Linked DNA regions of Lonchura striata. The protein of the gene in region 3 interacts with the protein of the main gene of each other region in a pairwise test. Links are inferred from orthologs where the notes say so. Each region holds a gene or a part of one and is shown on either strand. Other genes may lie near its edges. The genes, in order: AKAP19, AKAP10 and PRKAR1A.

Region 1 (3,746 bases), on a different chromosome or scaffold from region 3:
TATTTCTGAAGCTGCTATACTGCCTTATTTAAAAAAAAAAAGTGAATTAGACTTGGTATTTATTATATCTATTTATATTTTCCAGCCCTGGTGCTGCTGTGGTGATTTAACACGTGGCTGCTGTGGGCACCACAGCAGGAGCCATCATGCAGAAAGGTTTTTTAGGGAAAACAACTCTAGTTCTTGCTATGGCCTCGAGATCAGCCAGTGTGGACAGGGGAGCAGGCTGCACTCCTCTGGCAGAGCAGCCCCAGTCGGGCTCACTGCAATCTCCCCCTGCTGGAAGAAATTCCCCTCTTCTCGAAAACTGTCACCTCAGTCAAAATTAATACTCAATTTCTTGTTTGCCTCTCAATTCCTTGGGTGTTTTTGCTCTGTGGTTACTCAGAGACACTGACCTCACTCCTTTTGGAGAGGCCCAGGGAGTCAGCGCCACTGTCCATTCCAGGACACAAAACCTGGAAAGCCCCAAGAGCAAAAATTTCATTTTAAAGATTTCTAAAATTGCCCAAATAGATTTCCATTAAAAATTTTCTAATAACTTCCGTATTAATTACACAAATTGAAACAAAAGCATCTAACAACTATTACATTCAGTTGGATAAACATTTGTGCTGTGTAGAAATTTGTAATTTATTTTACCCCCCTTCTTGATTATCTCAAAAGTTTCCCAGTCTAAATCATTCTGTGATTCTGGTTTCTTCGTTTTTACTTTGATGCTAAGTATAGGTTTTTCTATGGGAGAAAAATATACCCACATATTCCATCTCATTTTTTTTTGAGCAGAGTGCCTTTATAGTGTAACTTTGTCATAATTATCTTATTAGCACATTTTTAAGCATCTAGACAAATTCTGAGTAGATAATGTTGGGGTTTTTTCCCGGAAAATTTTGCAAATATGGTGACTTAAGCAGTTCTAAATATCTTTGCACAGGTGTTGCTGACTGGGTGAAGTGCAACTCAGCCCCTATAAAATGAAGTCCTGCAGGACACACTGAAGTGTAAGTATATGACTGAGCATGTTCTTCAAATTCTGCTGCTAAATTAGGTATTTTATCGTTAAAAAAACAACAACAACAACAACAAAAAACCCACCAAGTCCTTCCCCAAATGTCTCACTGTGATAATCACAAAGTGCTGGGGATTCTTTAATGGGTACAGAGTTCAGTGCACACACTGATTCTGTGTTTTCCTTTGCGTTACAGCAGTATATGCATATCCAGCTAACTCCAGAAGAAGTAAAACTAGTACAACATGTTAAACTTATTTTAAATATTCAGGATCTCTTCGTACAAGAAAGTGGAATTAGGCTTTGCATCTATATTCTACTGTATTCTAACTTCAGTGTAAAAGCTATCAAACCTTTTCCTGAGAGCAGGAGGATGGGATATTCCAAAAATAATCATGATCTAGAAATCAATGTTGTGCCCTAAGGTTTGGAGCAGCCGTGCAATCCCCACTCTCATGTACTTTTGGTAGTAACAGAGTTGAAAACTAGGGCAGCGCTGAGGAGCTTCCGTGGCATGTGCTTGGGAATCCTGCAATCATATTTGTCCTTAATTTTAATCAACCTAGTTGCAACCATCAAGGAAATATATTAAAAGAATAAAAGCTCTGAGAAAAGGCTTTGGTAAATCTCAGTTGTGCATTAGAATAGCAAGAGCAGATGAGGGTGGTGTATAATGAAAGAAGGATCAGGTAAAAGAAAGAAAAATCCATAGCTGAGAAAAGAACACCTTTCCCATGCACAAAGTTTTTGAAAATAGAACCTTTATTGAGACAGTGGTTCCTTAGTCTATAAAGCTGTGTTGAAGTGACCTTCTTTGCATCATGGGTTTGATTTTGAAACTCTACCAAAGTACTTACTAGAAGGTATTCACAGCATATCAGGTACAACTTCAAGGCTTTTGGATTATTAGGAGGTTTTGGTCAATAACAAAAATTTTCAGGGCTTTATAGTTCTTTAGACTTTATATTGATTCTTCCCAGACTGTGCAATATTTTCCATGTTTTCCAACCCATACAGTTATACATAGATTTGGTAAAGTCACCATGTGGCTGTGGGCATGCTGGGAGGAGCTCCTGGGGCAGAGTGCTTGTCATGGCTTCCCTTTAACTCTTCACCTGAATTAGAAATATGTGCCTCAGTGAAGCCCTTCCTAATTCCAGTGTCTGTTTGTATCACTAAAAAACTATTTGAGAAACAGAGCAAGTGTTTCAGCCACTGACCTCTGACTAGGGCTTGTGGTTGGATTTGGATAAATTCATGGAGTTTTGTAGCCCTTTTTTGAATGCCACATCAGTGGGTTGTCAGTGGATTCTCAAATGAACTTAAGCACTATTATGGAAAAAGGATTGTATTTTCTCTGCTTTCTGTTGGAAAGAATTTATTTATTCTGTTACCCTTGGACAAACTCATTAAAACTTTGCCATCTGGTGCAGAGGTTGTTAAGTGACAAATTGTAACCCAAAAGAAGTAGCTTAGCACAGCTGAACCATCCAGTCTGGGTACCATTCCAGTAGCTCCAATGCTAATACCATTCCCTGACTTCTGTGGTTCAGTTTGCACCAGTTTCCCTGTTGCAGGTGTATTGATGCTGCATCCACATCACTCTGGAGTGAACATGTGCACACAGAGCAGGGCATGCCAAGAATGTAGAGGGTTTGGGCTATATTACAGGAAGAACTAGCAAACTCCAATTAGCAAACTAATAAAAATTGCTAATAAAATAAATACCAAGTCTATGACAACAAAAACTTAAACTTACTTTAAAACAATTTCTTCTGGAGGAGAGAGTATCTTCCTTACCCCTACAGGAAAGTGCTTTCAGCCACTAAAATCTGGAGAAGGGTGCAAGAGAGCATTATCTGGCAAGTTGAGTTGCAGGAAAGGTTTTGATGCCTGTGCCCTCCCAAACCAGTCCATGCCCAGCAGGAGTTCCTGCACCCTGGCACAGTCAGGGACATTGAGGCCACATAGCCCCACTCCCTGGACAACTGCTGCACCTCTGAGGCCTCCGTGTTGGGGGCGGGGGCACCTCAGATTTGGGTATTGTGATTTTGAATATCACAGCACCCATGTCTGGCCCCAGCATTGCACACTGAAATGCTTTACAAGCTAAATATTTCATCAACTACCTAGCCTGTGCCTGGCTGTAGTAATTCAAATGGATTCTCTGCATTTAAAAACACTGACTGCTTTGCCTCAGCCCAGCATAATCAGCTGTCTTGCAAACTCCACAGCTAATAAAGTATTAAATCCATGTTGGCACCCAGAAATAAATATGGGCTCAAGATTCTCATCACATGTATCTCCCTCTCCTGAGCTCCCTGTCCCTGCCACATCACACTGAGGTGCTGCTGCTCAGGACAAGGTTTGTTGTTGGGTTGGTGGCACAGGAGATCAGCAGTGCTCCAGGACCAGACTATTATCTTTTGGGATGCAGTGATCCAGTCAGGCACCAGCTGTGCTTGCAGCTTGTGGAATGTCTGCCCCACGGCACCAAGTTGCTCAGTGGGAGCTGCATTCGTTTAAAAGCTGAAGATAAAAGTAGAAACTTGCATTAGAAACCAGGCTAGAATAATAAAGAGCACAGTAGCCATAAGCCTATACAAAGATATTTATAATTTAGTTACAAAATTCTTATTTAAAAATAGGATATAGTTTAAAAATCACTTTTGTAGTAATACCACTGTGTTAATGCAAGGCAACCATGCCTTTCTGGCACTTCATCTTGCTTTAATTC
Region 2 (3,746 bases), on a different chromosome or scaffold from region 3:
GGGGGATACTGGAGAATGTGATCTACCAGGGAGGCTGCTCCAGGCAAGGATTATTACTACAAATAGGTCATTCCTGAACACCCACTGAGGAGCCCTTCCTCAGTGCACAGCCCAGCACAATCCCACATTTACATCACAAAACACATCCAAAACACCACCCCAAGCGAAGCCTTCCTATCCCCACCTAAGGATGTTAAATATTTTACAGGAGAGCTCCGGTTACATAACTGCCCTGGCCCGGTGGCTGCAGCGCTGCCTGCCAGCCTCCCCGGCGAGCACAAACGCTGCAGGGCTGCAAATCTGCAACTCGGGGTCGAAAATTGCAGCTGCCAGGGAGCTCACTGTGTGACAGAGGGGTTGAAGTGTGCATTACAAGAGGAGGATTCCCTCCACGCTGACCTGCAGCCTGATGCAGCACGAGGGAAACCAGCCTTTACATAACTGGAGAGAAACCAGAGGGAAGCAAGCAACCTCTATGAACTCTCATCCTTCCCAAATCACTCCAGTATTTCATCAAACCGGTTCCTAGCTATCAGCAGCAAGTCCTGGGTTTCACACAACAGCCCTCCATAAGCCTATTTTCAGTTTAAATACCTCTGTTCCTTCTTTCCTCCCTAAATACCTACTTACTACTGGAAATACAAACTCCAGGGTCGTGTCCCAACCCTTTCCACACAGGCTGCTCCTGTCCCCAGCAGCTCTGAGCACGACCAGGTGCCATCAGTAACAGGAGGGGACAAAATCAGCTCTGATCCAGGACAAGCCCGAATTTCAGAGAGTGAAGTTGCACCACATGAACTCACTTTCACTTCCCCCAAAAAGCGGATGCTGTGCGGTGCCTGTGTGAAACCAGAAGGAACCACAGAATGGGGACTGAGGGAGAGATTTCCAGTGGCCAATCCCCTTCCAAAGGGTGCCAAAGCAGCACATGACATTCCAGAGTTGCAATTCACATCCTGAAATGCTCTCAACAAACTCAAAAAGTGTTCACAGTGTGTCAACAGCACACAGAAAACAACGAGATCCTGCTGAGGTCAGCCAGGCTGTGGGACTGCACGTTATTCCCAAGATATCCCAGGGATGAGCTGGTCCACTGGCAGCAGTTTCATAACTGCCCTCAAGCGCCCAGCTCACCTGTTATATTTTGATTTCTCAACCCATTATCCACCCTCAGTCTGCCAGACCTTTATTTTGAGGCCCAAGCTATAAAAACACTTCACCCTGATATTTGATTTTTCTACAAGCTTTATGATTCTTGCTATGGTTTAATTTAAAATTAGTCTTAATTTCTACCCACTGCAATATCCTCTTAAACAACCACAGCTCACCCCAGGAACATTGGTGTTTGTAGGATTTTGGCCTGCACGTGGCCAGAGTTTTATCCTAAGCCTAAATGTGCTGCTTCCCTCACAGCTTCAGTTCAAATCTTGTCTAAAAGCCACACCTAAAAACGGAATCACACCAAGCAGTGTTTTATGCACAGCCCAGATGAAAGGTTGCTTTTCTCCTCTCCTTCACAGCGTCTCTGCATTTAGTGCTGATTTGCCTTTCTGACCAAAGATCCTTTAATCAAAGGAATACAGATCCTCAATTACACTTCTCAGATAATCAGAGCTTTCATGGCTTTCTCCCTGAGAAGGTTTCCACACAAGCTGACCTTGTCCCTGTGATCCCGCGTCAGGAGGGAACCTCAGCTCCACAATTCTCAATGAAGCAGCAGGAGCTCTTTTTGAAGAGTTTATAACCACTATCAAAGTTTTATTCTGCAGCCCAGTATTTGTATATAAACACCCCAAAAAGGATTGCAAAGCCCTCAATGGCTTCTACTCTTCAGATCTGCTACGTTTAGACTCATTTCTCGCACAACTGCTGCACTAACCTCCCCAGAGTGACATTTTCAGTGCTGCTGCTTTGGCTGAGTGAGATCCAGAGGATGTGAGAGCCAAGAGCATCACCATCACCCCAGGTACCACGTCCTTGCCTCCCAGCATGTGCATTTTGGGTTCAGAAACACAGAAAGACTTTAGGACAGCGCTGCATCAGAAGATCAGTGCTCGAGCTACAGCACCACGAGGAAACAGAACTGTCCCAAGGGGCCCTTCCTAAAAGGTGCCACTTGCAACAAAAACCACCCAAACCACAGCTGGGCGGCTTGAGAGCTCTGGCCCTGCCTGCAGCACGGGCACAAAGCGCCTTCAAAACGCAGAGAACACTTAAACTGCTCCCATTCGTGCTGCTGGGGCGTTACAAATATTTCAGCAGCCCTGAATTTCCCAGCTCCTACTGCAGAACGAACTGCCGAGCACTCCTTGGGCTCAGCGCGACGAGGTCCCTTTTCCACCGACACCTTCAGCTCCTGCTGTACATTCTCAGCCCATTCTCACTGTCACAAAGCCGGCCGTGCCAGCCCTGTGCAAAACGCATCTGCAAAGGGCTCCGAGCGCGGGAGGTGCCACAGCCGCTGGCGGAGCCGCGGGCAGCCGGGGCCGCGGCCGCTCACCGGAGAGCCCCGAGCCCCCCGAGGACGCAGGCACTGACCGTCATCGGCGGGGAGGCCGCTCCTCAGGGCCCGCGCGTCCTCGCGGGGCCCGGTGGCGATGCCCGGCGGGGCAGGGCCGGGGCCCGGCGGCCGCGCAGGGGACGAGCCCGGCGGCCGCCCGCCCGCCGCCGCTGCCCTACCTTTCCGCCTGAAGAAGGACATAGCGCCGGGGAGGGGGGCGAGGCGGCGGCGGGGCGGGGGGAGGCGGGAGGGGGGGAAGGCAGCGCGCCGGGCCCTATGAATGAGGCAGCCGCGCCCGCCCGCCGCCGCCGCTCCCTCCGCCTCTTCCTCCCGCGGCGGCGCCCGCGGCCGCCATGTTGTCAACACCGGCCCCGCGCCCGCTTCCGGCAGCGCCGCCCGCGCGGCACGGCGGGATGCGGCCGCACTCAACATGGCGGCCCCGGCTTCACACCCACCGCACAACGGGGGCCGGGCGGGGCCGCCATGTTGGGTGAGGGCAAGAAGCCCGCTGGGGTCCAGGGCGGCGGGGCGGCCATCTTTGATCGGGGCGGGGGGCGCCGGGCGGCGTGAGGCGCCAGCCGCCATCTTGGCTGAGGGCACGGGTGACCCGGGGACGCTGCGGCAGCTCGGGCGCGGCCCGCGGGCAGGGACAGAGAGCCCGAGGACAAGGGACACAGAGCCCGAGGACAGGGACAGAGATCCCGAGGGCAGGGACAGAGCCCGAGGGCAAGGACAGAGAGCCCGAGGGCAAGGGACAGAGAGCCCGAGGGTAGAGGGACAGAGCCCGAGGGCAAGGACAGAGAGCCCGAGGGCAGGGACAGAGAGCCCGAGGGCAAGGGACAGAGCCCGAGGGCAAGGGACAGAGAGCCCGAGGGCAGGGACAGAGAGCCCGAGGGCAGGGACAGAGAGCCCGAGGGTAGAGGGACAGAGAGCCCGAGGGCAAGGACAGAGAGCCCGAGGGCAAGGGACAGAGAGCCCGAGGGCAAGGGACAGAGAGCCCGAGGGCAAGGGACAGAGAGCCCGAGGGCAGGGACAGAGCCCGAGGGCAAGGACAGAGAGTCCGAGGGCAGGGACAGAGAGTCTGAGGGCAGGGACAGAGAGCCCGAGGGCAAGGACAGAGAGCCCGAGGGCAGGGACAGAGAGCCCGAGGGCAAGGGATAGAGAGCCCGAGGGTAGAGGGACAGAGAGCCCGAGGGCAAGGGACAGAGAGCCCGAGGGTAGAGGGACAGAGAGCCCGAGGGCAAGG
Region 3 (3,746 bases):
GTTATCAAAGATTTGGGGAATGTGAGCTCAGGGGCTGGACTGGGTCTGTCAGAATTGCAGGTCCAAGATCTACACCCAAGTTATTATCCTTTATTTCTTTAATATAAGAGCTAATAAACAAGAAACCCCTCAGCAGGTAGTTCCTGATGGCTTGTGTGTCACTGCACAAACAGCACAAACTTCTTATACCATAATATACATTAAACTGTTGCTGTTGAGAGTAATTTTCACTGTACTTTACGTGATTGCTGGCTGAAATGATGTAACATTAGAGTAAAAAGTTATGTTCTGCGTTGCAAGACCAGCAAATGCACAGTTCAGGGCTCATTTTTAGGGATTATTTCTCCTTCCTAAACCCAGAGATGGGCTATGCCTGTGCCAGCACAGTCCAGATATAAAAATCATTTAAATGATTTCTTACAGCTTGGAAGAGACAAAGTGAATGGAGTCAAAGGGCTCATCTCAGCTATAAAGACACATGGAATAATTTGTACACGGATTTACATTGATTATAGTGAAATCTTTGCCAAACTTGAGTATCGTTTATTTCCCTCAACCTATAACAATCTCTGATCTTTGAAGCGGGTCCTTTCCAGGAGAGTCGGTGTGGAGTTGATGCCCTGGCGGATCCCACTGCCCTCAGGGGATCCCTCTCCTCCCGACCATTCCTGCTCCCCTCAGAGGATCCCTCTCAGGGTTTCCCACTCCTCTCTGCCATTCCTTTTCACCTCAGGGTATCCCTCTCCCCTCAGCCATTCCCTCTCCTCAGCCATTCCCGTTTCCCTCAGGATATCCCTCTCCTCTCAGCCATTCCCGCTCCCCTCAGGGTATCCCTCTCCCCTCAACCATTCCCGCTCCCCTCAGGGTATCCCTCTCCCCTCAGCCATTCCCTCTCCCCTCAGCCATTCCCTCTCCCCTCAGGGTATCCCTCTCCCCTCAGCCATTCCCGCTCCCCTCAGCCATTCCCGCTCCCCTCAGCCATTCCCTCTCTCCTCAGGGTATCCCTCTCCCCTCAGCCATTCCCTCTCCCCTCAGCCATTCCCGCTCCCCTCAGCCATTCCCTCTCCCCTCAGCCATTCCCGCTCCCCTCAGGGTATCCCTCTCCCCTCAGCCATTCCCTCTCCCCTCAGGGTATCCCTCCCCCCTCAGCCATTCCCGCTCCCCTCAGGGTATCCCGCGCCCCTCAGCGGACCCCACACCCCACCCCGTTCCCGCCAGCCCCGCGCCCTTAAAGCTGCAAAGCTCCTCCCGCGCCGCTCCCCGGCCTGTGCCCGCGCCGCGCCCGCCGTTGCCCCTTTAAGGTTACCGCGGCGACGGGCCCGGGCGAGAGCGAGGCGCATTGACGTCAGGGCGGGCGGGGCCCGTCCGGCCGGTCGGTTTCCGGTGCCGCCGCTGCAGCGAGGCCGCGGCCGGGCCGGGACGGGCGGGGGGTCCCGGCGGAGCCGCCGCAGGTGAGCGGGGCGGGGGCAGCGGCCGGGCGGCCCCGGGGCGGCGGCGGGGCCGGGGCGCTACGAGAGCCGGGCGGGACGGGCGCGGAGCGGGAGGCTGCGGCCTTGGGGCGGGGCCGGCCCGGCGCGGCGGAGGGAGCGGAGCCGGGGCCGCGGCTCTGCGGGTGCCGTGGGGGCAGCGGCGCCTTCTCGGGCCAGTGTCCGAGGGGCCCCCGCGGGCTGTGGGGCCGGGCCCCGCGGCGCTCCCGGGCCTTTGTGCCGGCTGTGCCCCGCGGCCCCGTCCCCGCCCCGGGGGTACCGGGTCGGTGCCTGCCGGGTCTGGAGCGGCCGCAGCCCCGCGCCGCGTGAGGGACGGGCTGGGCTGGGCTGGGAGGGGCAGCCACGCCTTGGGGAGCTCGGGGAAGCTTTGGGGACGTGCAGAAAGAACGGCTTGTAGGAATAAATCCCGGAGTTTTCATTTTGTCCGTGATGCTGCATTTCCTGCACCGCTCCTGCCCTCCTGGCGTGGCCGTGGCCGCTCACGGAGCCACCGGGCTCGGTTCATTAGCGCTGACCTTCACCGGGCGGGCTGGCCAAACAAAAGGAGTCGCTGGAGAACTTCTCGTGGCTTTCTCAGCCCGTGGGAAGGCCACGCTTTGTGTTTATGCAACGCACAGTACACGTGTGTGTGTGTGTGTCCTTGAGCAGGGATTAAGCGTGACAATCACGACACCTGCGTGAAGTGTTGGTAATTCCATATTAAATCCAAGCCTTCTGTAATCTCCAGCAGCAGAATTCAGAGGGGCACGTTGTTTTGTTGTCTCTGTGCCCTGGGTTTTCCTGCTGCTTCCTCCGCAGGATAAAACCCATGATGTGACTTCAGTGACTTGTCATTTCTCAAAATTCTTTTGACTGAATTCATTTTTTCCCTTTCAAAAGCTGATCCCGGGATCAACATATCTTACTGCATATAAATAAGCTGTTGCCACACTCCCTGTAGCAGGTAACTTTCTTTATATTTCATCCAAAAATGCCCTGAGAAATTCTTTCCTGTTTCTTTAACTCTCCCAGTGTCAATTTTCTTATGAAAAAAATGATGTGAAATGTGTGTCTATATACATGTACACGTAAAAAAATATATCTTAAAATGGTTTTATAACCCTGTGGTGGGCCAAGCCAGGCTAGATGCTAAGCACCCACCAAAACTGCTCCATCACTACCCTCTTCAACTCAACAACAGAAGGAAAATATAAGGACAGGCTCCTGGACTGAGATAAGGGAGAGATCACTTACCACTTGCCATTGTGGGCAAAACAGACTCTACTCAGGGAAATTGATAATAAATTAAACTAACTAAATTGTAGTAGGATAATGAGAAATAAAGCTAAATCGTACAAACATCTTCCTGGCCCTCTCCCTTCTCTCCAGCTTTAACTTTACTCCTGATGTTCTCTGCCTTGCCTCACCTCAGAGGATGAGAATTGCAGTCAGTTCCTTACATGTTGTCTCTGCTGCTCCATCCTGCACACCTTCCCCCTGGGAGACAGTCCTCCATGGACTTCTCCAGTGTGAGTCCTTCCTGCAGGCTACTCTCCAGCCTGGTTTCCCTTCCATGGTCACAACTCCTGCCAGAAAACCATCCCAGGATAGGATTCCTGTGGGATCACACTCTGCATTCCCCTGCTCCAGTGTGGGGTCCTCCAGGGGCTGCAGATGGATCTCTGCTCCCTCTTTGGGTCTCCAGGGGCTGTCAGTGGATCTCTGCTCCCCCATGGATCTCCAGGAGCTGTGGGTGGGTCTCTGCTCCCCCATGGATCTCCAGGGGCTGTCAGTGGATCTCTGCTCCCCCATGGATCTCCAGGGGCTGTGGGTGGGTCTCTGCTCCCCCGTGGATCTCCAGGGGCTGTGGGTGAATCTGCTCCCCTGTGGATCTCCAGGGCACAGCTGCCTCACCATGGTCTGTATCACGGGCTGCCAGGGAATCCATGCTCCAGGGCCTGCAGCACCTCCTGCACTGACCCTGGGGACTGCAGGGCTGTTTTTCCCATTTATTGCCACTCACCTGTCTGGCTGAAGTAGCCATTTCTCCTCCCTCCTTAAGTACCTTGTCCCAGAGGCTCTGCCACTGTCACTGATGGGCCCAGCCTCGACCAGTGGCAGTTTCATGTTGGAGCTGTCTGGCATTGGCTCTGTTGGACATGGAGGAAGCAGCCAGCAGCTTCTCACAGACCCCCCCCTGTACCCCGTGCTACCAAAATCTGGAAGTAGAAACCCAGTACAAACTTGAAAGGGGAGAAAAATCTGCTTAAGAATATATTT

Evidence for each region.
Region 1: the proteins of PRKAR1A (region 3) and AKAP19 interact in binary tests that used the Homo sapiens proteins (3 or more experiments, as listed by UniProt). The two-hybrid records come from large-scale screens. The link is inferred for Lonchura striata from reciprocal best matches to the Homo sapiens genes PRKAR1A and AKAP19.
Region 2: the proteins of PRKAR1A (region 3) and AKAP10 interact in a two-hybrid assay, tested with the Homo sapiens proteins (3 studies listed by BioGRID and IntAct). The link is inferred for Lonchura striata from reciprocal best matches to the Homo sapiens genes PRKAR1A and AKAP10.

The regions. Positions count from the first base shown.
Region 1 is NC_134610.1:30,738,196-30,741,941, reverse strand, and holds the start of AKAP19 (small membrane A-kinase anchor protein), read left to right. Parts: upstream 1-934; 5' UTR 935-1,001; intron 1,002-3,746.
Region 2 is NC_134622.1:8,540,646-8,544,391, reverse strand, and holds the start of AKAP10 (A-kinase anchor protein 10, mitochondrial), read right to left. Parts: upstream 2,702-3,746; coding exon 2,539-2,701; intron 2,507-2,538; exon of another isoform or gene 1-2,506. UniProt on the Homo sapiens protein: Differentially targeted protein that binds to type I and II regulatory subunits of protein kinase A and anchors them to the mitochondria or the plasma membrane.
Region 3 is NC_134621.1:9,548,853-9,552,598, forward strand, and holds the start of PRKAR1A (cAMP-dependent protein kinase type I-alpha regulatory subunit), read left to right. Parts: upstream 1-1,351; 5' UTR 1,352-1,451; intron 1,452-2,366; 5' UTR 2,367-2,430; intron 2,431-3,746. UniProt on the Homo sapiens protein: Regulatory subunit of the cAMP-dependent protein kinases involved in cAMP signaling in cells.